Linked DNA regions of Cricetulus griseus. The protein of the gene in region 1 interacts with the protein of each later gene in a pairwise test. Links are inferred from orthologs where the notes say so. Each region holds a gene or a part of one and is shown in the gene's direction. Other genes may lie near its edges.

What was found.
Region 2: the proteins of Creb5 (region 1) and Fosl2 interact in binary tests that used the Homo sapiens proteins (3 or more experiments, as listed by UniProt). The two-hybrid records come from large-scale screens. The link is inferred for Cricetulus griseus from reciprocal best matches to the Homo sapiens genes CREB5 and FOSL2.
Region 3: the proteins of Creb5 (region 1) and Fosl1 interact in binary tests that used the Homo sapiens proteins (3 or more experiments, as listed by UniProt). The two-hybrid records come from large-scale screens. The link is inferred for Cricetulus griseus from reciprocal best matches to the Homo sapiens genes CREB5 and FOSL1.
Region 4: the proteins of Creb5 (region 1) and Spry1 interact in binary tests that used the Homo sapiens proteins (3 or more experiments, as listed by UniProt). The two-hybrid records come from large-scale screens. The link is inferred for Cricetulus griseus from reciprocal best matches to the Homo sapiens genes CREB5 and SPRY1.
Region 5: the proteins of Creb5 (region 1) and Kifc3 interact in binary tests that used the Homo sapiens proteins (3 or more experiments, as listed by UniProt). The two-hybrid records come from large-scale screens. The link is inferred for Cricetulus griseus from reciprocal best matches to the Homo sapiens genes CREB5 and KIFC3.
Region 6: the proteins of Creb5 (region 1) and Efemp2 interact in binary tests that used the Homo sapiens proteins (3 or more experiments, as listed by UniProt). The two-hybrid records come from large-scale screens. The link is inferred for Cricetulus griseus from reciprocal best matches to the Homo sapiens genes CREB5 and EFEMP2.
Region 7: the proteins of Creb5 (region 1) and Rbpms interact in binary tests that used the Homo sapiens proteins (3 or more experiments, as listed by UniProt). The two-hybrid records come from large-scale screens. The link is inferred for Cricetulus griseus from reciprocal best matches to the Homo sapiens genes CREB5 and RBPMS.

What each region holds. Positions count from the first base shown.
Region 1 is NC_048601.1:87,957,354-87,961,352, reverse strand, and holds the start of Creb5 (cyclic AMP-responsive element-binding protein 5), read left to right. Parts: upstream 1-1,199; 5' UTR 1,200-1,211; coding exon 1,212-1,265; intron 1,266-3,999. UniProt on the Homo sapiens protein: Binds to the cAMP response element and activates transcription.
Region 2 is NC_048600.1:12,335,997-12,340,208, reverse strand, and holds the start of Fosl2 (fos-related antigen 2), read left to right. Parts: upstream 1-1,412; 5' UTR 1,413-2,263; coding exon 2,264-2,365; intron 2,366-2,596; exon of another isoform or gene 2,597-3,312; coding exon of another isoform or gene 3,313-3,369; intron 3,370-4,212.
Region 3 is NC_048596.1:53,891,461-53,895,437, reverse strand, and holds the start of Fosl1 (fos-related antigen 1), read left to right. Parts: upstream 1-1,177; 5' UTR 1,178-1,424; coding exon 1,425-1,529; intron 1,530-3,662; coding exon 3,663-3,860; intron 3,861-3,977.
Region 4 is NW_023276806.1:112,081,566-112,085,683, reverse strand, and holds the start of Spry1 (protein sprouty homolog 1), read left to right. Parts: upstream 1-1,318; 5' UTR 1,319-1,559; intron 1,560-2,176; exon of another isoform or gene 2,177-2,286; intron 2,287-3,987; 5' UTR 3,988-4,042; coding exon 4,043-4,118. UniProt on the Homo sapiens protein: Inhibits fibroblast growth factor (FGF)-induced retinal lens fiber differentiation, probably by inhibiting FGF-mediated phosphorylation of ERK1/2. Inhibits TGFB-induced epithelial-to-mesenchymal transition in lens epithelial cells.
Region 5 is NC_048596.1:171,330,985-171,334,484, reverse strand, and holds part of Kifc3 (kinesin-like protein KIFC3), read left to right. Parts: intron 1-2,912; coding exon 2,913-3,051; intron 3,052-3,500. UniProt on the Homo sapiens protein: Minus-end microtubule-dependent motor protein. Involved in apically targeted transport. Required for zonula adherens maintenance.
Region 6 is NC_048596.1:53,864,090-53,868,045, reverse strand, and holds the start of Efemp2 (EGF-containing fibulin-like extracellular matrix protein 2 precursor), read left to right. Parts: upstream 1-1,156; 5' UTR 1,157-1,446; coding exon 1,447-1,557; intron 1,558-1,793; coding exon 1,794-1,842; intron 1,843-2,459; coding exon 2,460-2,666; intron 2,667-3,956. UniProt on the Homo sapiens protein: Plays a crucial role in elastic fiber formation in tissue, and in the formation of ultrastructural connections between elastic laminae and smooth muscle cells in the aorta, therefore participates in terminal differentiation and maturation of smooth muscle cell (SMC) and in the mechanical properties and wall integrity maintenance of the aorta.
Region 7 is NW_023276807.1:50,883,351-50,887,584, forward strand, and holds the start of Rbpms (RNA-binding protein with multiple splicing), read left to right. Parts: upstream 1-1,434; 5' UTR 1,435-1,732; coding exon 1,733-1,798; intron 1,799-4,234.

The sequences.
Region 1 (3,999 bases):
CTTTAACACAGTTCCTCATGTTGTGGTGACCTCCAAACATAACATTAATTTTGTTGCTACTTCATAGCTGTAATTTTTCTACTGATGTTATGAATCTCATATTCGGATATCTAATATGTGACCCTGTGAAAGGGTCAGTTGACCCCTCACAGGAGCTTCAATCCAAAGGTTGAGAACCACTGTCCTATGGGAATGAGTGAGGCTTTGCTTAGTTGAAAATGCATGCCAATGGGGAAATTACAGTTGGGAGAGGGTTTACATTATTTCTCTGTTTTCAGTTCTGTGTTTTAGTGTCTGACTGGCAATGCTATCTAAGGTAAACATCCTCACTTTACATTTTAGAAAAGAGAGAGGGTGCATGTATTTTCCTAAAGAATAGTGTTTGGGAAAGAGGATGTAACATGTACAAATTAGATGTGTTTGCAAAGTGGGACTCCTCCATGATGCAAGCTGGCACTGTCTTCCTTTTGGAATCACCCACAGGCAGCATTTTAAAGAAACAGATTCCTCCCTGTGCTCAGGATTAAGGCAGTAGGGTTTAAAACTCAGCAATAGACCCACGTGCCATTAAAAGCACATGTAATACATATATACAAATCTAAAATTGGTTTAAAAGTATTTAGAAAATCATCTAAATAATGTAACAGAAATTTGCATGGTCCTTCCGGTCATTAAAAAGAAACAAAGCCAACAGCAACAGGTGTGCTAATCAGAGAGTCATGAGGACCACACTTTTTATTGGTATTCAGGGTCATTTGTAAAGGTGATTGTAACCATGCTCAATTTTTACCCGAACTGAAGTTTTCCTTCTGGCTATCCCGAGCAGCCAGTTTCTAAGTTCTCATAGGACTGCGAGGGTCAGGGTGGGGAGTGGGGGTGTACTTTGCCTTGGAATCTTGCTGAGAAGTTGAGGTCTTGCCTGGCAATAGCAGCCATCAGCCAGCTTTCCAGAGGTAGGCGTTAGGTTCTAGCATCGATATACCTTTTTCTTTAATATGCACTAAAGATAGCACTCTATGAACTTAAGTGGAGAGAAACAATAAACCGGAAACAGGGCCGTTATCACCATGCTCGTCTGTAACTTGCTCATTTTGGGGAATGGCTATAGAAGGCTCCCAATGATTGCCTTTCTCATGCATCTGAAGCAGAAGAGGGCGTTATTCATGGCTTTCTGTTTTCCTTTAATCCTTCAGATTTATGAGGAATCCAAGATGAACTTGGAGCAGGAGAGGCCGTTTGTCTGCAGTGCTCCGGGCTGCTCCCAGGTGAGTATGCGGGTCCTCATGCTTCTGCCTTCCCCTGGGACGGCATCGCTCATTTGAGCCGCCATGTCCATTGGATTTTCTTTCTTAGCTGAAATACTTTTCAAAGTATCCCTGATCATCAGCATCATGATTCTCATCCTCACTAACGCTAGATCACACTTTATAGTTTGAAATACTTCCCCTTTATCCCGAAAGGCAGCAATGTTGACATCCCTATGAGTAACTTCCTCCGGAAGCAAGCCAGATGCTCCGTGCCCACCATTTCCGCTGGGCAGTCATTCAGAAAGGGGAAGGTGGTGTGTTCTTCACAGCAGCCGATTGCATACATACTGAGGTTTTTTTGTTTTGTTTTGTTTTTTTGATGAGATGCCTCGTAGTTGTGAGTTGGATTCTGGATCCTTTTTGAGGAAAAGAATACCACTATGACTGTTCTCAAACTACAGTTCTTGGGCATAGAATTTTTAAGAGAAGAGGATATGTTCACATGAAGGATTGAATCTGAGGGCCTCTGATAACTCTCTTCAAATGTTTATTATAGGGCATGAACATAGTAAATGTTCAGTTAATACCCACTCTTGTTATCACTAGTGCTGCTGCTAAATCTGTTATATTAGATCCCATATTTATTACATGAAATTCAAATTTTATGTTTTATTTTTAAAACTTGAAGATGACTTTTTCTGCTCATGACTCAAGAGTCCATCTTTGGGTAGTACCATGTTCTAGGAATTTTGATATGTTAGAATTGTAGTTTTTATACCAGGACCTTTATTTTATGGGATATAGGACACATTTCAGAGTCTGAGCATACGCATTTTGCTAATGTGGAGGAAGATGGCATTCACTCCCTAATTTTCCTGTACCTTCAAGGAAACCAAGGCCCACACCCACCAGTTCATCCGATAAGGTTGGTAGTCTTATGTGGGGCAGTGTCTAAGGTCAGTTAGGAGTAAGATGAATACCCTTCTTATAGTTTGCCAGAGTTTGTGGAGGATTCTGGGAGAATTTGAGGAGAAGATTTGGAGGGACAAAGTCACAGAAACATAAAATATTGTCACTGATGTTATCAGCTGTTGAGCACCCAGAGTCTGGAATTTTCATCAGAGGTTTTTGTGCCAATATTTCTTTGTAACCTGTGAACAAGAAAAGGAGTAGACAAAAATATTTTGGAGCAAACTGATTTTGAAAGCCATTATGAAGCAGGAAATACTAGAGGAATGTGGACAGGTTGCTTGGTAACTGGGAAAATCCTGGTAGACAAGGACTTCTCATGGTAAATGTAGACAAGGGCTTCTCATGGTAAATGTAGACAAGGACTTCTCATGGTAAATGCAGACAAGGGCTTCTCATGGTAAATGCAGAGTATCTCTGTACTAAATTCAAACCTGGCTCCTAACTAAAACAGAACTCCCCCTCAGTTTCTTCAAAGGGAAGCCTCCTTGTCTAAAGGAGCTCAGACACTTGGAGGGGTTTCCTTTGCTTGGCTCTGACAATAGACATTACGCTTCATTTACTACAAGCCACCTAGACACTTTCTAGGTACCTACCTGTGTGTGTCTAGGCATTCTAGCTGCTTCTTGAAAACCACACTACTCCAACACACACATGTCTCTGCTCTCACAGACCTTCTGGTCTGGGCATCAGATATATAGTCATATGATAAAATTATGGACTAACTAGTTGATTGCAATTTTTTTCATAAAGAAGCAACAGACCACACTGGGGAACTCACTTTACTGGGGTAATTGGAAGGCTTCTCTATGGAACAACAACAAAATGAGGGGTCAGGCTAGGTTGGGATTCTCAGGTATATCCAGGGTTAGAATGCCAGTAAAGAGCTTCTAGCCATAGGTGGGATTCATGAAAGTCAGACAGGAGAGAGATTCATAAGTACCTGTACCACACACACTATCCCAAACTTGGCATTATTAACATCTAAGGCCAAGTGACGCTTTGATGTGGGCACTATTGTGTATTGTAGAGTGTTTGACAGCATCCCTGTCTCAACCCACCAGACCTCAAAAGCACTCCTCAGCTGTGACAACCGAAAGATCTTCATGTTTCCAGATGTCCTCTAGGGTCACACTTGTTCTGGTTGACAATGCTGTTGGTTTCATTGGGGTTTAGCCTTGCTCTTATGTACCCCTTCTGTTATGGATCCCCAGCTTCTAACTGATGCTCTCCCACTCTATTTCAGGCCTTGCTCTAAGCCACATTTCCCTTGCTGCATGCAGTCAGACAGGGTATAAATAAATCAACTCCATAGACGTGTAGTCACTGCTGTCCTACACTGTTGGAGCTGGGATTGTTGGAAGGCGGAGCAAAGGCTGTTGGGTTTGGCAGTTAGTTGCTTGCAGGAGACATGGGAGAGAGCAGAGGGTGGAGGCCTGATTGGAAGGGATTAATGAGTGAGTGGGTGGCAAGGGAGCTGAAGTGATGGCATAGAGGAGCCTTTCAGGAGCAGGAGGCAGTGCTGAAGCAGAGTGATCTAATGGCAGTCTGCTAAAGGATAGCCAGGGTAAATTTAGTCAAGAGGGAGAAACCAATGAGGGGGCAGGAAAGAGTAGGAGAGCTTGAAGGAGCAGTGCCAAGGAGATAGAGGGTACAAAGAATCCTGTGGGGCCGTGGACATCCTCAGTTAACTTGAGCCAGGAGGGGACAGAGGGAGAATTTGCCAAGTCGCATGCAAAGTCTGAGGGAACTGAGCATGGTTGACTTTTGGGGTCAAGTATTT
Region 2 (4,212 bases), on another chromosome or scaffold:
TATACGGAGTTCGGGGACAGCCTGTGCTACCTGAGCCTCAAAAGAAAGAGTTCCTCAACTCCTGGTACAACACTTAGCATGGTACCTTCTCTTAGGATGATTGGAAGTCCGGAGCAGACAAGAGCTTCAGAAGGTCGTCCGCTCCAAACCTTTCATTATACAGAAGGAAATTGAGACTGCAGACTCGCCCAAGATCTCACAGCTCGTAAATAGCATGGCCAGGCGTTCATACTCCAAGGCCTGCGCTCTTTACCCTGTGCACCACCCCGCCCAGCAAGGCGGGAAGAGCCAGGAGTCCGGCCACGCGTGCCCTGAACTTTGCTCCAAAACAGCTCAAGGCAACTTGGGGTACATCTCTCGGCCCCCCAGTTTGTTTGTTTGAACAGCTTGGTTTGCTTTTAAGGCCTGGTTGCTGCTATTAGATGCGACCAAATTGTCTAGCACAGGGGACTCCCGCAATGTCTCGCTAGCTAGTTTCATCTTCAATAGCACTTCTAGCAAATTAATTGGAAGGTCAAAATAAAAAACAAAAACAAACAAACAAACAAAAAACCCAAGAGCACACACATACAAAAGGGAAGCAGTGGGCAGCCAGGCTCCGAGGGGGAAATGGGCAGGCCAGCCCCGCCTGGCGGCGCCGTGCCGCACCCCGCCAAGACCCGGCCGCAGGGCGGCGCGGGTGCCCGGTGCGTCCAGGACGCCTGCTGTACCGGGCGGCGCCGCGGAGGGTGCGGACGACTGCGCACGGCCGCGCCCTCCCCGCGAGCGGCTCTGAGCGCCGGGCTCTGGGCCTCGCTGTGGCGCCGCACTGAGCCACCCGTCTCGGCTTCAGGGCTGCGATTGTTTTCTAAAACCCGGGGCCCGAGCCCGCGAGGCCGCTTTCGGGGCCCCGCCCCGCGCCCCTTTCTTTTGGGGTGGGGATGGTGGGTGCGCGCTTGGGAGCGGGCAAGGGAATCCCTCTCCCTCCACGTCACCCGAAAGCGAGGAAACCCGCACTCGCGTCCTCTAACGCAAATGACCATCTTTGGCAACGTGCGCCAATGGAACAGACCAAGGGCGCTGCGCCCCGGGGGGTGGAGGAGCTCGGCAAGAACTCAAGCGGCCTCGGCGCCCCCAAAGTGCCAGGGCCGCACGCTCCCACCCTCACCACCACCCGCCTTTCTTGCGCGGGGTGTGCGGCTGGCGTCAGCGTGACCGCGAGCAGGGCTGGGAGGGGAGCGCCGTGCCCGCCTCCTCCCCTCCCGCGCCTCTTCCTCCTCCTCCTCCTGGTCCCGGGCCTCCTCCCCCGCCGCCTCGAGAGCTCCTCCCAGCAAGGTGGAGTCTAGCGTTGACGTGAGTCGATCCACATGGTGCGGGGCTGGAGAATAAAGAGTGTGGAGTTGAACTCGTGCCATTGTAGTGACTCATCTCGGGCAGAACGCAGGGGCTTGAAGCGAGACAGCGAGCTGCGCTCGGCAGGGACTGAGAGAGAGAGAGAGAGAGAGAGAGAGAGAGAGCGAGAAAGGGGGAGAAAGAGAGAGAGGGAGGGCGAAGCGAGGCAAGACGCTCGAGGCCAGCTCGTCCTGGAGCGGACACCGGGTGCAGGTCACTGCGACGCGGAGCCACGTCCCTCTTAGCACTGCTCAGCCTGGAACCCCACGGGCACTGTCCCGCCGGCGCGATCCGGGCAGCTGGACAGGCGCTCACTGCCTTGTCCTAAGTCAAGTGTCCGAGTCGCCGGGAAACTCAGGCGGCGAGTTGGCCACAGGAAGTTTATTCTCGGGCTCCTTTTCTAAAAGGAGGAAACAGAAGTTTCTCCCAACCGGCAGCTTTTCTTTTTCGCCTTTTTGGCGCCCTGTGAGATTGGGGAGGGAGTCCCCCAGAGCTGCCAAGCAACACCCGCTGGGCTCCTAGTCTTTTTTGCGTTGCCCATTTTTGATCCAGCCCGTGGGTCCCGGCGGAGCTCCGGCTGCGCGCGGGGGCGGAAGGGCGCGCGCAGGGGAGGGACCGAGGGACGCGCCGACTTTTTAGAGGGAGGGACCCGGTGGACAGCCGGTTCCGCGGAGCTTGCAGAGCAGAAACGAAGTGCGGTGCGCGGCGATCGGGGGATCACTTCCCGAGTGTCGCCGCCTCCCTGTCTGCCTCGGTTGGGGGACAGCCCCGGAGCCAAGAGCCCAGCCCGCGGCGGGGCCGGTGGACCAGCGAGCGCGCAGCAGACTGCGCGGCCGCGGCGAGGGCGGGGAAGAAAACCACCCTGTTTCCTCTCCGGCCCCCACCGCGGATCATGTACCAGGATTATCCCGGGAACTTTGACACCTCGTCCCGGGGCAGCAGCGGCTCTCCTGCGCACGCCGAGTCCTACTCCAGCGGTGGCGGCGGCCAGCAGGTACGTGCGGGCCCGGGTGCACCTGGCGGCACCGGCTGACTCCTTGCCCTCTCCTCGCTCTCACTGCCTCCATCCCCAACCTCCGTCTTTACCCTTCCTTGGCTGGGCTAGAAAAATACTTAGGGGCCACCGTTGATAAGTTGTGGGGTTTTGTTCTGTTCCGCCCCACCCACCCCACCACTTTTTTTTTTTTTTTAAACAAGCGGAGAGTGGGCTTAAAGAGCCAATAACAACCCCCCTCTCCGGCTTCTCTCACTTTATTCCAGAAAAGCTTCTGGAATTGTTGGTCCCCTCTTGGAAGCCTGTTGCCTCCTTCCGAACGCTCTCCCCTCCTTTTCCACCTTCCCCTTTCTCGGTGGTGGATAGACAAGGAAATCTTTGCGCCTCCTAAGTCCCCTCCCAATCGTCAAAGACCATACAACGAAGGCCTTTTAGCCTTTCCTTTTTCTGTTTTCCTTCGGTCTTAGCAGCTTTCTGAAATGGGTTGGGGACTCAGAAATACGGTTGGGCTCCTTCAAGTGATCCGGAGGGAGGGCTAGGGTTGCCTCTGGGAATCAGGTGCGAAGGTCAGGAAGGAAGAAGCTGGCTTTGATTGGCTCTTGACACCTCTTGTGCTCACCCCCCTCCCAGCTTCCGGTGAGGGTTGGGCAGGAACCTGTACTGTCCCGGAGAGCAGAACCTTGGGGGGCTTGGGGATACCTGGGGCAAAGAAGCTGGCAGAAAGAAGAGGGAGAACGAGACATCACTTGGGCTCCTGAGTAGTGGTTTTAGAAGTAGAAAAACAACTTGTTTCTAAAGCAGGCAGACTGGTTTCCATTGGAGGGATTCTGCCCGCACTCCGTGTGTCTGTAGGATACCAAACGGGTACTGGTGAAGTGGTGGTGCTGGTGGGGTACCTGACTTGTGTAGCACACACACTGTCTCATGAGGGAACTGCATGAGCTTACATGGTCCTCTGCCGCCCGAAGCCCTCTGGAGTTCCTAGCCAAGTTGGCTGCAGCAGCGTGAGTTACTCCATAAGGCCATGGCTATGGCCTTGGCTTTGGCCTCCAGCAGTCAACCCGATGGGGGGGGGGCGCTTCCAGGGAAAGATGGACTGAGCTGGGAAATATAGTAAAAACATGTCTTTCTTTGTAATCCGAAAAAGAGGAGCACCTCTCTCAAAGTAATGCCCCATGTCGAGTGAGTCCCTCCAAATGGCTTTTCTGTGTCTTCTCTCTAATCCCTACATACCTGCTAAGCACCTACTGTAGAGAGCCTGGTCTTCACAGAGGGTGCAGTCAATGGACCCTTACTACTGAAGTGATGAGTTTTAAGGCTTATCTAAAAAGTCATTGGTTATGTTTGCATCCCAGCCCAGTGGGTGATTTGTGTTGAACCAAAACATCATTCACTTTATACCTGTCCCCGGACTTTCTAGTTCAATAACCCCACCCCACCCCACCCCACCTCCCTCTCTTTCCCCAGCCAACATTGGAGCTTTGTATTTCTGTTTCTTTCACTAATGAGATGGAGCCATTGACCAGTGACACAGTGCAATCTCCCTGCCTGGTGCTTGGCTCAAACTCTGGGGCCTGGATGGGAAGTCAGACCGGACATCAGTGCCCCAACTGAATAATCTGTGTCACTAGGGCTTTGAGCCCAGGATATGAGCAGAGGCAATTCCTTGTTTTGGAAGCAAATCAGACAGGAAACCAATGCTAGGACGAAGGAAGACAGAGCTCCGTCCAGCAGTGTGTAATGGGGCCTCATTACCGAAGCAAAAAGCAGCTGTTAGCTAATTCCTAGCATGCTGTAACACATGAGGATTTTGCAATTAGCAACAACCAATACATGGGATCCTCAGG
Region 3 (3,977 bases), on another chromosome or scaffold:
AAGCCGAGAAGGGAAGCTTTGGCAGCCTGACATTCTACATGTATGTACAGTGTGAGGGCTCAAAGCTATGATGGCCTGACTTGGTCACCAGACTCAGCCACTTACTCAGTGGTGGCCTTAGGCAACTCATTTCAATAGCTGTCAACCTTAGTTTTCCCCATCTGTAAAGTGGGGGTTATGATGGCACCTATCTCCCCAGCACATTTGGCCAGGGCCTCACCCTCACAAAGACCTTTCACATACTTTCAAAGAAGGTTGGTGACACACACAGTCCTGGAGGAGTGCCTCCAGTCAAGAAGCCTCATTGATTGCATCTCAGGACACTTGTGTCCCTCTGTAGGCTCTCTCTGCCTGTAGAGACTTAGATTAAAACTTGTGATAGCTCTGGAGTCTCCAGACACAATTATAGTGCTTTCTATCTGTGGGTACACTAAGTGAATTTCACTTAGTGTTAAAATCTAAGAACATTTTTGTAACCCTGGTTTGTCACTTACTCACTTTTTAGTCTATCAGAGGCCTTGACACCAGTTGAAACGGGGTGTGGTAGCACATGCCTGTAATATCTGCCCTCCACTCCGGAGGTGAAGGCAAACACCAGCAGTTCTAGGCTATCCTAAGACACAGAAGGTAAAGACCAACCTGGGCTACCTGAGACTCTATGTAAAAAAAAAAAAAAAAAAAAAAAAAAAAAGCCAGGCATGATGGTGGCACATTCCAGCACCAGAGAGGCCAGCCTAAGTTACCAGAGACCCTGCCTTAACCAATCTCCCTCAACAAACAACAAAGTAAACTCTAATCAAACAAACTTCCCACCCGGATTCCAGAGGAGTGGCCTTAAACCAGGACGGCTGACTTGGGTGACAGTGCCAGGCAAATAATGATGACAGCAATAATCCATCATATTTATAATTCACTTCAACAGTTTCCTGCTAGTTTTCCCGTTCTTCTATCGGCTACATGATTGTTTCGCCCTGTTTTATGGCGCTGGGAGCCTTGGCTAGTCCAGACGGGGCGGGGCGCAGCTGCAAGCCCCAACCTCAGCTAGGTGCGTCAGGGGGAATCCTCGCTGTACCTGGGCGCGGCGAGGAAATTGCACCATGTATGGGCAGCTGCGTCAGAGGGGGCGGGGCCACCGCAGAGGCTAGGGGACGCCAAGTAGGTCGCTTTCCCTCGGCAGAGGCGGCTGGCCACCAAGTCAGGGGGTCGTGAGGTTCCGTGCGGACCAGCCCACAGCGGCTCATTCGGAGAGGTGGGTCCCCCTCGGAGAGGTGAAAGGCTCCGCTGCGACACGCCCCCACCCCCCGCGGTGCAAGTGGTTCAGCCCGACAACTTTTCATTCATAAAAAAGACAAGACTCCGCGAGGCTCCAGTGAGTCAGAACCGCAGCCGCCGACGCGGACCCCACCGAGCATCCAGCCCAGGGCATGTACCGAGACTTCGGGGAACCGGGACCGAGCTCCGGGGCCGGCAGCGCGTACGGTCGCCCCGCGCAGCCCCCGCAGGCTCAGGCGCAGACCGCCCAGCATCAGGTGAGGCTGGCCGGACCCCGGAGGGGGACCTGGGTTTGGACAGCGTTGGGGATGCTGGAGTTAGTCTGGTTTGCTCCGGGACTGGGACCGGAACCCCGAGCAGCGTCCGCGCGACAGAGGATCCTGCACGTTCTGCGCTGTCCAGGAACCGGTGTCCCCCGTGGCCAGGGGGACAGGCGCAGCGGGAGGAGCGAAGATCTACGAGTCCCCCTTCTCGCCCGCCCGCATCTCCCTAGCTGACTGTCAACCTACCCCTCTGTCTCCGTTACGGTCTTTATTTCCTTTTGTCTACCCCTAAATAGTGTCCCACCTGCCCCAACCCAAAACTGAGCTGGATCAGAGGAGCGCTCCATCTCCAGCTTAGTAACCGGGACCTGGAGCTTGGGCACAGGGGAGATTTGGGGGAGGGGGGTTCATTAGAACTCGGCCGGGACAGCGAATCCTTAGCAGTCTGTCTGCGGCTAAGTACGAGTGTCGCTTCCAATTTGTTCCTCTGCCTGGTCAAGTCCACATCCTTTTGAACGCAGTGGAGTCCCGGGGGCCTCAGGCAGTGGCTCTGAGGGGTTCCTGGAGACTGACTACACTCTCTAAGCCAAATGGAGACCACGAAGTGTCGGGACATGCTCCGGGTCATCCACCAGGCCACTCTCGCGCCCCTTACTCTAAGCACCCGACGGTTCCCACTACTGGCCAGGGACACTTGAGAGGTTGCAGGTGCCCATTTCCTGTCGAGGGACCACGAGCACGTGTTGCCAGGGGAGGGAAGGAGCTGCGTCCGTTCCGCCGAGTCACAGCGAACCGAGTCACTGTGGCTGAGTCACCCTGGGTGCCCCTCCCTTCCTGGCCCCAAACGCCCTGGGACCGACGACCTGGGAGCGGGAGATGCCCCTAGCGATGCTTCTAGCCCAGAACTGGGGTCACTGAGCTACTGTGTCCCCCAGTACTGGGCTGAGGACATAGCCGTCCAGGCTTGCCTAGGCATGTGAGGTGTTTCCTGGACGGAAGGGAGCCCACACCCTTAGCTCACAGGGCTTAAACCCAGTCTGTGCCCCAGAACACTCACACACACCCAGACCTCACCCCTCATCCTCCCCACCCCTCCCCCCAATCCCAACACATGCCTCAGATTTCTGGCAGAAAAAGAACTAAAGAATGCCAGGCCTCCTATGAAGGGCTTTTCATCTCTTCACCTTATTTTGTACTTAAAAACCCCATCACTTTTGAGCCTCCAGAATCTTAAATAGACAATTGGGCATGCCTTTAATCCCAGTATTCAGGAGGTGGAGGCAGAGGCAGGCCAATTTCTGGGAGTTCAAGACAAATTTGGTACAAAGCTACATAATAGAGGGATCCTGTTTCTAAAATTAAAAAAAAAATTAAAGCCGATTAAACATGGTTTCTGAGCTAGCAGAGCCAGCTTCTCAGCAGCAGTGAAATGTTGCATGATATTAAGAACAAGGAAACTGAAGAAACATTGGGGCTAAATAACTGGTTCCAGTCACAAAGCCAGTAAATGGCTGAGCTGATGCTTGAGACATAGCCCTTGTTCATCATATTGGACACCTGACTCTATTGCACATTCTAAGCCACGTGGGCTGCTGTATAGTCTCAGTGCTTGGGAGGTGGGGGCAGGAGGGTCAAGAGTTTGAGTCTAGCCTGAGCTCCATGAGATCCAGTCCCCCAACAACAACAAACTCCCTTACCTAATTCTCAGAGTTGCACCCATCCTCTGTTGTGAGGATGGGTGCAAGAAAGAGTGAGAAAAGCCAGCCATTTGGGCTCAAATCTCAGTTTCTACTTGCTGGCTGTAGGTCTGTGGTCAACTGTTATCCTGTCTGAAAATGGAGATACGATTGTACCCACTGTATGAGTCATTCTTTATAAAGTAGTTGGGAACAGGGACAGTTCACACTTGGTAAGAATTATCTCTGATGGGGACAAACAGAGGTAAAGAGACACTTTGTGACCTGCCCAAAGTCACACAGTTCATGAACAAGTTTCTGATTGCCCAATTGTGTTCCTTGTGGTCTCCCAAAGCCAGTATCCGCATTGAGAGGAGACAGAAGTATAGCCTGTGTCTCTTGAAAGCCCCTCAATTTGCCTCATCACTGACCCCCTGTTCTTATTCCTCAGAAGTTCCACCTTGTGCCAAGCATCAATGCTGTGAGTGGCAGCCAGGAATTGCAGTGGATGGTGCAGCCTCATTTCCTGGGACCCAGTGGCTATCCCCGACCTCTGGCCTATCCCCAGTACAGTCCCCCTCAGCCCCGGCCAGGAGTCATACGAGCCCTAGGGCCACCTCCAGGGGTGCGTCGTAGGCCCTGTGAGCAGGTAAGGAAGAGAGGTGTTGCACTTTCAATAGCCCTTAGGGGTCCTAGGAGGCAGGGGACAGGATCGTGCTAGGAGAGAACTTCCATTGCCCATAGGAGTCCCTGGGAGGCTAAGAAA
Region 4 (4,118 bases), on another chromosome or scaffold:
CACTGACCTCCCTGCTAAATTTATGCAGACAACTGAGAAGTGCCAAAAAAGATACTCTGGTATGATACTGCATTAGCGATTGGACCCTTCCAATCCAGTCCTAAGAAACAGATCCACAGCTGTCAGGCCTTATTACATTGCTACCTCTGTGGGAAAATAGACAAGATACAAAAGCCCCACCAGCTTTACATTTGAAACTATGACTTTAACACATTTCCTAGCATGAAGGTGAACAGACAGCTAGCTTCCTGGCTTCTAGAATGTTCTATTATCCTCTAGTGGCCTTTCTTATGGAGGATGTTCTTTGCAGGAGTGTCCTGGATGTCTCCCATGCAATTCCACACACAACTGTGAGTTCTAAAAGCATTTAGATACTTGAAAATGAAGTATGCAAAAACCAACATCAACAAAAAGCTTTTAAAAAAAAAACCTGCTGTTATTGTTAACACTTTAAAAAACTACTTTGAGCCCAAAACATCCAAACTCACATTGATGGATGATTTAGACCCTGGAGATCTGTTGTTTATCAAAACTATTCCTGATACAGTTCCCTGGGAAAATATTTCCTATTAACAATTTTTGGGGTCTTAGGTTATTTTAAAAACCCTCTATGGAATTTTTAGTTCCACATATAGTTCTTTTCACTTTGTCCTGAGCTACATCATCCCAATAATAAATGTCCAAAATCCCAGAGTTTGTAAGGAAACAAAAAGCATTCCCCACTTACTAGAGTCCCCCTACCCTGTGACAGACATGTAACTAAAACTAAAGCTTCTTCATGAGTTATTCTTATTTTACTTGCTTTTTGTTGATTAAAAAAAAGTTTGTGTTTTTTTGACAAAATTATACAAACATTACAAAATAGCAAGGACTTACTTGGGTTTGTTTTTTTTTTTTTTTTCCGAGTAATTTTTGGGATCATACCATAAACCGAAACGGAACAATCACTAAAATCCCACAGCAGGAGGGATTTCCTGCTGTGGATCATTATATTACATTTGCAAAAGTGACTGTCCTTTCGGGAACTTTCATACTGTATCAGCACACATTTTCCCTGGGGCACGGTGGAGAGGTGTACAAGTGTTTTTGTTGTTGTTGTTGTTTTGTTTTTGCCTACTGTTCTTCACAACTCTTTTCTAACTCATAAGGGTGAACGCATCGGTTTCCTTAAATCGGAGGCTGACAGCTCACTGACTATCAGGGGCCCTGGAACATGTGTTGCTGCCCAGTTGAGCTCAGAGGCAGTTTTTTCGGAGCGTCCTCGAGTCCACATCCACGATCGCTAAAATCCTGCTCCGGGTTTTGGCTCAGCCCGCGTGATTGACACATGATATCACCGGGGGCGGGTCCCAGCGTGGAGGTGGAGGTGGCGGCGACGCTGAAATGCTGCGGAGCCCGCGCGCGAGTGCTCAGCACGCAGGAGTTTGCGGCGGCCCCGCAGCCAGAGCTCTGCGGGCTAAGAAGCAGCTGCGCGCGACGTGCATGTGCCGGGAAGGCCGGCCCCGGGCTCTGCACTAGGCAAGAGCCTTGCCCTCCCGCCCAGGACCTGGCGAGATCAGGTGAGAATGGTGCTTTTTTTTTTTTTTTTTTTTTTTTCAAGGACCGGACGTTTTCGGATCTGGCTCTAGCTTGGTGCCCCGCGCTGGGCGCCCGGCCCTGCAGCTGGAGAGCTGGCTCCTTTCGCTTTCCCGTAGCCGGGCAGCGAGTTCCGCGTGTGCGGACGCGGGCTGGCATCGCCGCGCACCCGCGTGTCTGTGCGCATTGTTGGCGACCGAGCCGCCGGGCGCTCGTGCCAGACCTGACTTTGCAGTCCCCGAGTGCGGGCTTGCCGCGAGCAGACGCGCCGTTCGGACGCGCTTTTCACTGCAGGGCATTCCGTGGGGGCAAAACGTGCACGGCCGCGTGTGTCCCGGGCTCGTGGCTGCCCATCACCGCGAGGAGGACAGCGTCCCGGGCTGGCGAGGGACTCACGTGTTTCTGTCTCTGCTCGTCTGCAGCCGGCGTGGCGACTGCGGGGACGCGGACCTGCGGGGACCCGAGCGCCCGGGACGACGCCGGGCCGCGCGCCTGACGACCGGGACGGGACGGTGCTGTGGAGCGGGCGCCGCGCGCACCCGGCGGATGTCCCGGAGCCGCCCTCGGCCGCCGCCAACCGCGGAGAAGCGCCCCTGCCCCGGGGCCGCCGAGGCCGCAGCGCGGGCTATGAGCGCCCGGCCGCCCCGCCGCGCTTGATGCGGCGCGCATCCCGCCCGTTCGGCGCCCCGGGCCGGCGCCGCGGAGGCCGAGGTGAGTGCGGGCGGCAGGTGCGGGCCGGGGCGGGCCGGGCGATCCTGGCGGTCGTCGCGCAGCCCGTGCCAAGCGCGCGGCACCCGATGGCGCTGGGGAGCCAGCGGCCGCCTATGCTCGGAGCGCAGTGCCTCGCGACGCGGGGAGAGGGCGCTGCCTCCTCCCGCCCGCGAGCTGTTTTCATTCATAACTTTCCCCAGCCCGAGCCGCTGCGGCTCGGTGTCCCTGAGGCCTATGTGCGGGCTCACAGAATTGTCCGCGCGCACCCGGCTGCTCTCCGGGCGGGTGCGGGCGCCGAGGTGCTCCGCCAGAGCGAACTTGCTTGGGAATGCCCTGTAAAATGCGAATTAAAGCTATGCCTGGGGGTTTCATTACTCAAGCCATTCCCACGTCTTCCTTTCTTGTGGATGAAACTTGGCACATTTAAAGTCTTCGTTTTGGAGTTTTAAGTTTTTTAAAATAGATAGGGCACGGGAGTAACGACTGGCTGTTTCCCATTGTCATTTAGGGGTTCGGTACTAAGACGTGCTGTTACAGATGTGTTTCTCGTGTTTGGGGAAGGTAGAATAAACTAGAGGGGCCCCCAAGAAGCTAAACATGTAGTCTAGGAGCATCCGTAGCAAACTGCTTTTCCTTGAGACGTTTTGTTTTCTTTTGGCACCTAATTCAAGTGCCGTCTTGAATTAGGGTGCATCTGTGGGTTTGGAGAGCATTTGTGTGAAAAATATCCTAGATACCTACTGCCCGGAAACGGGAAAGTCAACTTTTGCTCTGTTTTAGGACGAATGCATTATAAATTGTAAATTATTTCTTGACGTGAAAACGTGTTTGTTGTGACGAGATATTAGTGTGTTTACCTTATTACAAAAAGCAGCTCGATTCAGGGCTTGTTGAAAATCAAGGTCTGTGGTGTAGATGAATGAAAGGAAATAAAGATAATGCAGAGACTAGGGCTCCTCTCCCTGCTCTGTAGGTTTGACACTTGTGCATAGAAGTTATTCATGTTGGTGAGTGAGCCTTGTTTAACCTTTAAAGAACCTTCTATCCAGAGTTTGTGTGCATGCTCTAGCGCCAGCAAGACAGCTAGAGCCGCTGCCTTCTCCATTCCTTGTAGATTCTTTTTCTCATCTCACAGATGAGCTTTAGATCCGGACTTGTGCCCAAAACGGCCTATTGAGATTCACGTGAGCTTGGAATATCCAGTGTTTTGGAAATTGCCTTGATTAATTTTCTCATTAATCTAAAGCTCTTAACAGCGAACAAATGGCCAAGAGGCCACAGCACTAAAGCCATTCTTAATCTTTAAAAAGTAGCTGACATTTTCCTTACGTGAACTGCCAGTGAACTGATAGTGAACTCTCTGAGAACAGTTCCAGGGCGCGCACTGAATGCTCCCTTCGAAGGCATATTTCATTTTAATTATTTGTTAGGTTTGCAAACAGGAAGACATGACTTCCTCTGCTTTTTAGAAGCTGGAGAGCAACTTCTAATTTTTGTGGCATGAGGTCTTGCTTGCTTTCTTCCTGTGATGTGGCCCTCCACAATCCTTGTTTTTGGAGTTGGACTCCTGCCAGGATTCTGCATCATTGAAATCAGCCGATGGAGGCGATCATTGCCAGGTGGTTTGGGCAATTTGTTACTTACAGGCGCCCCCCTCCCCAAAATGCTTTCTCATTTATTTTCTCTCTCACTCTTCTTTAGGATTTCCGATGCATGCCAGGTTTCTGCTGACTGCCGGAACCGGAGATCACTCCACATGGATCCCCCAAGTCAGCATGGCAGCCACACTTCCCTAGTGGTGATTCAGCCACCGCCTCTGGAAGGCCGTCAGA
Region 5 (3,500 bases), on another chromosome or scaffold:
GTACATCTGCTGCCTGTGGAGGCCTGAAGAGTGTATTGGATCTTCTCAGACTGGAGTTACTGATGGTCGTGAGCCACCATGTGGGTACTGGGAATTGAACCTGAGTCCTCTGGAAGAACAGCCAATGCCCTTACCTGCTAAGTGGTCTCTTCAGTCCTCCTGCATTAGTATTTTAATATGTGCATTTGCTGAACAGATATTTATGGATTGGCTGCCTTATGCCAATGCATCTAGCACAGGTGCAGGGATGATGAGAAGGGAAATAGGGAAGATAGCCCACCAGAGAGTCACCAGTGACCTCAAATGCATAAGCACCAATGGGAATACCAGGAACAAAACTTTAGAGAATGAAGTGCCAGTGTTATCTGGGGGTGTTGCCCAGATTTCCCTGAGAGAGGACTCAAAATCCCTCTGGCTTCTTTCTTTATATTTGTTAGACAGGGATTCCCTGTGTAGCCTTGGCTGGTGTGGAACCCAATGGCAGATACTGCTGCCTCATGTTCCCACATGCTGTGGTAGGAGGCATAAGCCACCATGCCTGGCTTTTCTCCCAGCTTCTTTGGCCTCATGCACATATCCTGCCCTCCTAAGTGGCCGCTGTGCATAGCCGGGATGAAGCAAGTGCAGATAGATGGTAGTCAGGATGGGCACTGGGGGAACATACACCTTTGAGCTGTCCTTCCTCTGGCTGCTGCAGCCCTGGGCCACTGCTCTGGGCAGGACCCCAAGGGCGATGGCACCTCAGCCACAGCCTGTGTTTCACCGTGTTTCTTTATTCTTGTGAGATTCTTCTGGGAGCTGAGCTGCCCATACTTTTGTCCTTTGTGAGGTCCCAGAGGGTCTGGTGAGACAACAGTTAAAGAAACCAGAGGGAAGTTAAATCGGGAGGCTGTGGTGAGGAGCTGCAGCTCAGCTGGGTGGTGGCCCTGTTCTTGAGCTTTGATTATGGGGTGCTGGGCTGTGGCTGCTATGGAGGCCTGGGCTCAGCAGTTCTGCTCACATTCCACTCAGAAGCTGATAGCCTCTGGCTTCCAAGTTCATGTCCTTCCGGCCCCTGCCGAACTCTGCCATGTTTATGGATATGGATATGTAACAAAGTGTGTCCCAAGCACAGTGAAGCGACCTGCAGGTCACAGAGTCAGTCACTCCAGCCTTGGTCCATCAGCTAAAGCCTGAGCTGTACCCCCAGAGGCAGTACAGAAATTCCCAGCCCCTGGGGACATCTGTCCTTCCTGTGCTTCGGCCAGCAGCCCAGAAATAGTGTAAACTTTGCTCCTGTCTGAAGGCAAATGGAAACTTCCAGCTGCTGCCATCCCTGCCTCCCCCACCTCCTCCAACCTGCTCAAGATGGTGTGACAGTTGAAGGGTGGGGACAAAATTTAACTAAGTAGAATTTTCCTAAATACGAAGATGAGGGGGAAAGAGGCTAAGGTCGTGGCTAACCAGGCACCTGCCCCGGCCACTTTTCACTCTTGCAATTCTCTTGATTGGCCTTTTGATGCTCAAGTAAGTGGAGACTAGAGAAATTATAAACTCACCACTGCTATCTATGTGGCACTTCTTGTAGGCCAGGCACCTTAAATGTGCTTTACTTGTGGCTGCCATTGGTTTGCCCACTGGCACAAGTGGGCAGAGGTTAGTGGTTCTAGATTGAGACTGTGGAAGGAAACTGAGGGAGGGTGCAGAATTTGTCCACAGCCACCCAGCACACAGGTGACATGCTGTCTCATTGGGCTTTGGCTTCCCTACTACCCTGAGCATTAAAGAAATGTATGTGGCACCTGGCCTAGAGTGTTGGCAGAAACCTTAAATCCCAGTAGTGAGGAGGCAGAGGCAGAGGCAGATAGATCTCTGTAAGATCCAGGCAGCCAGGGCTACAGAGTGAGACCCTGTGTATATAAAAGAGTCATACTTGACTTGAGAGGGCACAAAGACATAAAAGCTTCTTACCAGATGTTTCCGTGGACATAAACCAAACCCAACTGTGTTTATAAGGTGAAAACTTCAAACCCCAGATGTCTCCAGAATGACCAGGAAGACCCTGTCTGCTCATCACCTTGCCTTTTCTCCTGTGTTCTCCAAGTTTAAATTGCTTTTGTTTCTATCTCAGTGAGTCTCTGTGTATGTACACCCCACACTGAGCACACACGGAGCCTGTGAGATCTCCAGTTTCATTTTCACCTTTATCTTGTGTATGACCCTCAAATGGGATCACGCTTTCCCACACTGTTCTGACCCTTGCTCGGTGTCATTCTCTGGGGGCTACAGAGGATGTCTTTGAATGAAGCACCCCTTTCCCACTCCCCCACTTGTCCGCTCCAGCCCAGCTACCTTTGCCTCAGTTCCTGACCAGCACATGGGTTCACATTGCCCCTGGATAGCCTCATGGGACAGAGCCTGAAGGAGGCAGGGTAGTCATTTTCCTGGTCAGATGGACTCATGTGCAGCCTCTGAGTCCTGGGAGGGCCATCCTTAGGTGGAAGGCCGACTGCCAAGGTGTTGCAGCAAATGACACTACAGAGGAGTTGCCTTCTATACACGACATGATGTGTATATTGCAGGACTGGATAGTTGCCTGTGATGATGAGGCTTGGTGTGAGCCAGTTGCTCACATGCCGATGACCCGTGCCCCACAGAGCCTGCAGGGATAGCACCAGCTTCACTAGGGGACCATAGAATCTTCTAATCTTTTTTTTTACTGGTAGAGAGACTGGCTACTGTGGGGCCCAAGAATAAACCATGGCCATCTTCCTGTGGGATGTTAGTCTGGCTTCCTCAGATCCCAGGCAGGCTTCTTTGTCCACGGTGGAGACAAGCTGCTGGGCCGGGGACCAGAGTGCTCATCATCCCCAGCGAGGGTCCCTCCTCAGCACAGTACCCTTCATGAGAGGATTCTGGTTGTGTCTTGGCAGCAGGCCCTGCAGGACAAGGGGTGCAAGAGCAAGAGTCAGGGGACGAAAGAAGACAAGCTCCTGAAGAGGCAGGCGCCGGCCCCCAAGCGGGACCGGGAGGCCCCAGAAGCTGGTGGCACCATGAATGTAGAAAACACAGGTAAAGGAGGTCAGCCCCACCATCAGCACACCTGGCTGCACACCTGGCAGGACACCTGGCTGAGCTGGTACAGGACACCTGGCTGAGTTGGTGCAGGACACCTGGCTGAGCTGGTGCAGGATGGAGTGGGGTCCCAGCTGTATGGTATTCTGCCCCACAGCTGGAGGTGGTTCAACCAGTCTGGCCACCTGACATGAACTTGAGACCCTAGACAGCCTCCTCCAGATCCAGATCCAGATCCAGATCCAGGGACAGCTATGTATCTGTCCTCTTTCTTGTCCTGCCCCTTGTCCCAGGGCCACCAGGGCTCCACCCAGTGATAAGAGACCTTGGCCACTGGAGGCTGGGGTTGGGTTTCCCTTCTTTTTGTCTTTTCCAAGCACCCATCTAAAGTAGGGCCCAGGAGCAGCCTCCCAGACGCCACTGGTGCCTGCTGCAGAGGCCAGTCT
Region 6 (3,956 bases), on another chromosome or scaffold:
AGGCAAGAGGCAGGTGGATCTACATAGTGAGTTCCAGGACAGCCAGAACTACTTGTGAGAACCTGTCTCGAAAAGATAAAACAAAGAAAGAAAGACTGGAAAGAGGTTGGGTAAGGGAAAGGAAGGTCAGGCTATTGCCGTAACCAGCAAGGGCCAGGCAAGGGAACCCTGGACACGCAGTCCTTTCCCGTCTAGTCCCGCCCTGAGACGTGGGCAACGCGAAGTCCCGCCCATTCGCCCCTTCCTGGGAGCCGGAGGCACACCGGCTCCTCCCTCAAGGCATGATCTTTGCTGGGGACCAAGACGGAAACTGGGTGGGGGACCTGAAGGGAAAGAGGGTCGGAAAAGGGCTGGCAGTGGGCCCTAGTGTCCTCTGCGCCCAAGTTCAAGTTTGCCAGTTTCTCGGGGGTTCCATTCATTTCGGGCCAAGACGACAGCTGCCCTCACCCCCACATTAGCGTAGCTTTGTGCAGGCAGGCTCCGGGGAAGCAGTGCCCTGAGTAGAGCGACCACCTGGAGGCCGCGGAGCTCATGGCCGGAGGGAGAGGGACAATTAACTTTATGTCCGGAAACCTTGGATGAATGTTTGAGACCATCTAACTGATGATGTGGGGAGCACAGGATAAAATTCTGCAAGTAGTAGGATTTGGAGGTTTGAGAAAATAAGTGGCGAGTAGGTTCTGAGAGGCGCAGATTCAGGGTCTGGGTGTTTAGCTACAGCTGAGGTGCGAGTGCACACTCAGGGATTCTAGAGGACCAGGTTGGATAGGGTCTAGGTGGCTAGGACAACATTTTGAATGAGGGCCCGGGGTCCCCAGGTGAATTTGGGGGCCAAACATCAAGGTCAGTGGCCCCGGGACCCAAGCGTTAGGGAACTCTGGCTGGGCGCCCGCAGGCGCCTCCAGGCGGCGCCGCGGGGGACCGGGTGGGGGCCTGTGGCCGGCCCGGGGTGGAGAAGCCGGGGGGTCGGGGTCCCTCCCCCTGGCGCGGGCTCAGGAATCCGCCGAAGGGCGGGCGGAGGCGCCGGGGTGGGCCGCGGCGGGCGGGCGGGCGGGCGGGCGGGCGGGCGGGGGCGCTTCCTGGGGCCGCGCGTCCAGCGAGCTGCGCGGTCCGGTCCGTCCGTCCGCCCGCAGGCACTGCCGGAGTCAACGAGTGAGTGGCCGCCAGCGGAGGGAGGGCGCGGGCCGTGTCGCGGCCGGGTCCGCGCTACGCCAAGCCGAGAGGCCTGCGCTCCACGACTCGCGGGGCGGGGGCGGGGCGGTCCGGGATTGCGGGCCTGCGAGCCCCAGGCCTGCGAAAGGACTCGGCCCCCAACTCTGGAAGGCTCCGGTGCTCCCAGCACAGTTCTGAGACAGCCGGGAATCCAGTGTCCCCTTCCTGATACAGGGAATGGGGGGTGTCGTGGCAGAGGCCCCTGACCCCTGCCCACTACCTCCCAGCCCCAGGATGCTCCCTTTTGCCTCCTGCCTTCCCGGGTCTTTACTGCTCTGGGCGCTCCTGCTGTTGCTCTTGGGAGCAGCGTCTCCACAGGATTCGGAAGAGCCGGACAGCTACACGGTGGGGACCAGCTTGGGATGGGATGGGATGGGATGGGATGGGATGGGATGGGATGGGATGGGAAGGACCAGGATCTTGGGGTGCCTGGGGAAGACTCTCCTCTGCTTGGTTGGTGGAAGACTGGGAGTCATTGTGTGAATTGACCCGAGCATAACTGAGCTCAGGCCCTGGCCTTGTTCTGGCTAGTTGGAGGAGACTTCCAGAGTGGTCACTGGCCACTTGGGGTCCCCTTCCAGGAATGTACAGATGGCTATGAGTGGGACGCAGACAGCCAGCACTGCCGGGGTGAGTATGCCTGGGATACTAGCCATTTTCAGGAACTGGGAAGGCAACTATTGTTTCCCAGGGATAACCTGGCTCCTAGACCAGCTGCAGGAACCTAATGGCCTTTTCACTGTCCAGCTTGGCTGAGCCAAAGCCAGCCACTCAATTAGGAGTCCTACCCCTTCAAGAAGTGCAATGAACTCTGCCTCTATTTGCAGTAGACAGGAGAGCACCTGGTGACTGCCCAGAGAAACGGAGATCTGCACACCTTCCGCCAACTGCCCTCTACTCTCCTAGCCCAGCTCTTTATCCCAGTGCAACCTGGGAGAGCAGTACACACTCTGTGGGTTTGGAGGCCTGCAAATTACTCTGGGGCAGAGGTAGAGGCAGGGTTTTGAGGAGGAATGGAAACTCACTTGGAGGCAGGAGAATAGGGACAACGGCGAAAATAGGTGGCCCTATCCCCAGTCCTGCAAATCACTGGGAGGGGTTCTGGGTCATCAGCCTTAATTTGCTGAGCAGAGAGAAAACCTTGCTCTGTTGCTCAGCTTAGAGAAGGCCAAGCTGGGATTCTGCCTCCCACTACCTCCAGGGCCAGCCCAGGTGACTGGCTGTGCCCAGCAGGCCCCTTTCTGCAGATGTCAACGAGTGCCTGACCATCCCCGAGGCCTGCAAGGGCGAAATGAAATGCATCAACCACTATGGGGGCTATTTGTGTCTGCCTCGATCTGCGGCTGTCATTAATGATCTACATGGCGAAGGCCCTCCACCACCAGTGCCCCCTGCTCAACACCCCAATCCTTGCCCACCAGGCTATGAACCTGATGAACAGGAGAGCTGTGTGGGTAAGTGGGAGCCATGCTGGCTGGCACCAATGCTTCCAGACCTCTTACATGTCTTTTTAAAATTAATTTTGTATTTAGTGTATAAAGTAAAAAGAAAAGTAAAAACCAAAAGAAAACAAAGGGGGGCGCTGGAGAGATGGCTTAGAGGTAAAGAGCACTGGCTGCTCTTCCAGAGGACCTGGGTTCAATTCCCAGCAACCACATGGTGGCTCACAACTGTCTGTAATTCTAATTCAGGGGACCTGGTACCCATGGCAAAACACCAATGCACATAAAATAAAAAAGTAAATTTAAAAATAAATAAAAGAAGCAAAGTGAAAGTTTTTAAAATCATGGTATCATTCTCCTGACACACTTCATATTTGTTCTCTCTCATTGTCCCTCCCTAGCACCTTGTTCTTCGAGATAGGATTTCTCTGTGTAGCCCTGGCTGTCCTGGAACTCACTCTGTAGTCCAGGTTGGCCTAGAACTTAGAGATCTGCCTGCCTCTGACTCCCTAGTGCTGAGTGCTGGGACTAAAGGTGTGTGCCACCACTGCAGGACTGTGTACTTTGTTTTTTGAGACAGAGTCTCTGGGTTTGATCCCCAGCACACACTTGTAATCCCACCACCAGGGAGGTAGAGAAAAGAAGATTGGAAGTTAAAGGTTACCTCAGTTGCATAAGGAGTTTGAGGCCACCCTGAGCTACATGAGAGCCTATCTCAAAAGCAGTAACTAACATAAATAAAGTAATTTTCCACACTAAATACCGCAGACCTCATGTTCCTTCCTTGCTGAGAGAAGCCTCTGGCTCCTCAGAGAAACATCTGAACCCTCACCTGCAGCAGGCCTGGTGCATGGTCTGCTGGCCCAGGAAGTCCCCAGCAGCTCCCTCACTTCCTGTGCAGACATGCTAGAGCTCTGCTCCCAGCCTCTTGCCAGCTCTTTATCAGGTCTCGGCCTTGGAAACCGCTGGCTTTGGAGGAGGGAAGATCCTGGTCTAGAGTCAGCTGAGGGTGTGAATGGACAACGCCTCATTTATTTTTAAGCCAGTTCTAGCTGGCTTGGAACTCTATAGCTCTGGCTGGCTTGGAACTCAGAGGGATCCTCCTGCTTCTGCCTCCTGGGTGTTAGAATTAAAAGTGTGTGCCACCAGACCTGACAAGGCCTTGTTTTATATGCTCAGCTAATGGGTGCTTTTCCTGGTGGACTGTTTTCTTGTGCTGTTGGGAGGACCTATATCCTATCTTCATATTTTGGTGCCAGCTACCCATGTGCCCATGTGAATGAAGTCTGGTGTGAGCCACCT
Region 7 (4,234 bases), on another chromosome or scaffold:
GTGAAGCTTGCTTTTTTATAATTTGAACCAGGATTCAGCGATTATGTTGCCTTGGAGTTGTTTGGGGTATCTTGTCTCCACAACACCACTTTCAACTGCCTAAAGGCAGGGCCCTTATCTTCAGCTCCCACCCCACCCCCACCCCGCCTCCACCCCACCCCAACAGCACTCAAAGCAGAAAGGGTAAAGAATGTCGAGTGTGGAGAAAGAGATAAACAGTTAAACCAAGACATAAATGAGAAGTGATTGGTGCGGCATGCCAGACAAACTTCCTCGGAGAGACAAGCACACCCCATTGATAGTGGGGGTCTTAAATGTCTGTCCAAACTAGTCAAAGAAGTTTACGGATCTATTGTTGGAAAAGTCCTGTAGGACCAGGAAAATGGAAACTTCCTTAATAATGCTAGCTTCCGCCTATTGTAAACCATAATGGTGCAAGAACAAGGGCTGGGAGAGGAGGGTTGGGCTTGCCCCATCTATAATCTCGAAAACCCTGGGATATATGTATATATATTTTCTCCCATTTCTCCGATGAGGAAACGGAAGCTACGCGGTCATCCCGGGGTTGGGCAATTGCTTTGATTCTCCAGATAAATGTCCTGACCTTTAAGGGGCAGTGAGGGACACTCAGCCAACAAATAAGATATCCAGTGCCTGCCTACTATGCTCCAGGTAGCCTACTTAAGTAGTGGCGGGGTGACAAAGATAAACCGGGCACGGTCTTGTATTCCAGGAAGGGGCTCCCCAAAGAGTGAAGTAAACAAAACGATTCCAGAACAGTCTGGTACCGGCTGTGCGAGTCTGAACAGGGGCGGCCGGAAGCCTTGGAGAGTGATAGCGGGCGTGCGGGAAGGCTAGGGAGGGATCGCTGGACTCCGGCGCTGGCGCTGGGGTTGCAAGCCGTGTCCTGCAAAAGCGGGGTTCGGTGGTGGGCTGTCCCCCGTGCCTGTCACCTCTCGGCGGGGGAAGAACCGAGTCTCAGCGGGTACTGCCAAGGAGGGGTGGGTTGGGGTGCACATCCGTCGAGAAAAGCATGGAAACAAAAAGTAGCACGCCCCAGTCCCCCCTCCGTGCACCCCCCAGCAGGCTTGGTCTCCAGCCCGCGACCCCTCTCTTAAGTCCACGCACACCGGCCCGCACCGACGCCGAGGCCGCGGGGTCTGGAGAGAGAGAGAGAGAGGGCGGACCCGATCTTCCTCCCGCCGTCCCCTCGGCCTCGTGACCCCGGTGACATCCCCCCCCCACACACACCCCAACGGAGCCAGGCCCTGGGGTCGACCGCTCCGCCCAGTGCCCCTCCTCCCGCGGGGGGCTTCGCGGTCCTGAGCAGCGTCCCTCAGGGCTGCGGCCGGCCGCTCACGTCCAGGGAGGGCGGAGGGAGGAGGGGAGGGGAGGGAAGGGAGGGGAGAGGAGGGGAGGAGGGTGGAAAGCGAGAGAAAGCGCGCTGCGTGCGGCCCCGCTGCCCAGAGCCTGCCAGCAGCGCGCCCTCGGCGGCTCCGGTCCCAACCGCGCCCGCCGCCTCGCCTCCTCCGCCTCGGCCGCGTCCGGACTACGGGGCTCGCCCGGCCTCTCGGAGGTTCCCCGCCCGCCCCGGCTCCCCGCAGCGCCGTCCGGCTCCAGCCCCGCAGCTCGCCTGCTCGCCCGTCCGCCCGGGGGAAGGTAGCAAGCGGGCGAGCGCGCCCTCGCCTCAGCCCCGCGCCCCAGCCCCGCGCGGCGACTAAGGACCGGGAAGATGAACGGCGGAGGCAAAGCCGAAAAGGAGAACACTCCGAGCGAGGCCAACCTTCAGGAGGAGGAGGTACCGAGGGGGGCCTGCTACGGGGCTCGGGGCGCATGGGGTGCGCGCGCCGGGGGGGGGCTGTGCCCCACGGGACGCGGCGTCCCGAGGCGCGGGGCTGCGTCCACGCGCGTCCGCATGCCTCCCATTGCATAACTTTGTAGGACTTTCCCTAGACTTTTTTTTAAGTAGAATGCTCAGCTTTGTCTACCCGGGATGTTAAAAGCGGAATCGAGAGCTGACTCCCGGGTGACCTCAGATGATTGGGATCGGGGGAGGGTCAAGATTTGGGTTCTGCGGCTGCTGCTGGAAATCGGAGGGAGGCATGGTTGAAGGAAGAAACTCTGGGAAAGTTCTTGTTAAAAGATAATTCCAACCCCAGCTCCTCTCCCTCCCTTTCGGTGTTAAAAGTACTGGGTGAAATATCTTCCTAGCTGAGACATTTTGGATTAATAGATAACTCATCAGCCGCATTCTTCCCTGATGAGTCGAAGACCCCTGCCGAACCTGGGCGATGTGGAATGGGGGTGGGGGGAGAGGTAGACTAACAAGGGCTAAAAGCTTTGGGTTCCCCAAAGCAAAGGCGCATGGAGGGTGTTTTCATAGAAAATCACAACTTTATGTGGCACACTCGGAATGATGATTAAAAACGATTTGCGGCTGTGGTGCGTTTCTTACTGAAAACACTTGAGTAATATGGGTGAATGGAGCGTGCATGGGACTTAAGAATTTTGTCAGTTTTGTGGTGTCAGGCCCGGACTTTCACTCCTGCTGGTGGTTTACCTGGAGGTCCAAGAAACTGTATTTATCTGTTTAAGGTCTCCCAAAATTGAGTGTGTAGAAGCAGACACGGCCCAACCCACTGTTTCATAAAAAGTGTTCTTACAGGTAAATTACATCCTAATGAGGAGGATGAACACAACGTAAACTGACTCTGAAGCGGTTAGGATGGTGAGAATGTTGAGACATTCTCACCGTGTGCAAACTAAGATACCGTGACTGAAACCAAACATTAGGAAAGAGTTCATCCATCCACCCATCTCTCTGACCTATGTAAACTCTCCACTGGTAAAATGGGAACTGTTTAAATGGGGAAGACAGAAGAGACCTAAACTTATGCAAAACAACGGAGAGTAAGATTTTACTCACCACAGTTGTTAGGGTAGTGCACCTTAGGGTTAAGGGAATTGAAGAAACCTGACAACTGCGTCCCCACCTGAAGAAATTACCTATTTCATCAGCAAGTGTTGGTTTGAGAAGTTTTGTTTATACCGATTTATAACGCCAGAGCCCAGGGAGCCAGCTGCAAGTTCCCGCTGCTTCTCAGTTTATTTCCTGACAAGTTAAACATTAAAAAATGATGCCCGTTTGCTTTTTAAAAAAAATTGCTGGGAATTTAGCATGCTTTAATGAACACAGTGAGGTAATAACTCATTTCAGATCCACAGTACCCTTATCCCTGCAAGGATGGATCCTCTAAAACCATCTTTCTTCCCTTCATCCGGTTCAGAAAAGTTGCAGCTGGGACAAAGCTCATGACAGCAACAAGAACACCAAAGTTTGGTCCTTTTAAAATGATTTTGGGAAACAACAAACCCCCAAGTTTTATTTTTTTTAAGGTTTTGGTAGGTAACAATAGGTTTGTCTCCAAATCCCATGCCCACTTGCCTAAATATTATGGCAAGTCAGTTTTTCTCTTGATCATCTTAGCTGCAGATGTTTCCAGTGCTAAGGCCCCCTCGGGGTGATCACATCTGGTAATGGACCATGTTGGTGCAGTCATCTGCCTGATTTTGCTGCGTTGCACTGAGTGTTTTTTGTCAGGTAGGAATGGCATGTGATTCTAGAAGTTGTGTTTATCTTTTTTAGCAAAACATTTGTTATTTAAGCAATAAGAGGAGTAGGAAGATTGCAGAGCTCAAGTTGTGCACTAGTGGGAATGTATAATACATACTCCATGAAAAATGTAGTGTCCACCCCTCCACCCCCACCCCAGTACTAAGAAATGAAAAAGCCAGACAAGCTTTTTTTTTTTTTTTTTTCGAGACAGGGTTTCTCTGTGTAGCTTTGGAGCGGATCCTGGCACTCGCTCTGGAAACCAGGCTGGTCTCGAACTCACAGAGATCCGCCTGTGAGTTCTTATCACTAGCTACTCTATTTTTTTGTTTAGAAATAGGGTTTCCCAAGTCACACAGTCAGGCTTTGAACTTGAATTCCTGCCTAAGAGTCCTGGGATTGAGGCATTTGCCATCACACCTGGCTAGCACAAAAGAAATGCAGGGAAAGAAAATTGTCAGTGTCCCAGGTAGTTTTATTTTATAATTCTCTCTTCTTTGTGTCTGCTTGGTTTTTGAAAACTCCTAGGCTCCCCCCCCCCCCCGCCCTGCCCCCCCAATAACCCTGGAAGCCACAAGTAAAATAAATACAGTATTTGGTGAGTCCCCTTAATGTGCTTGT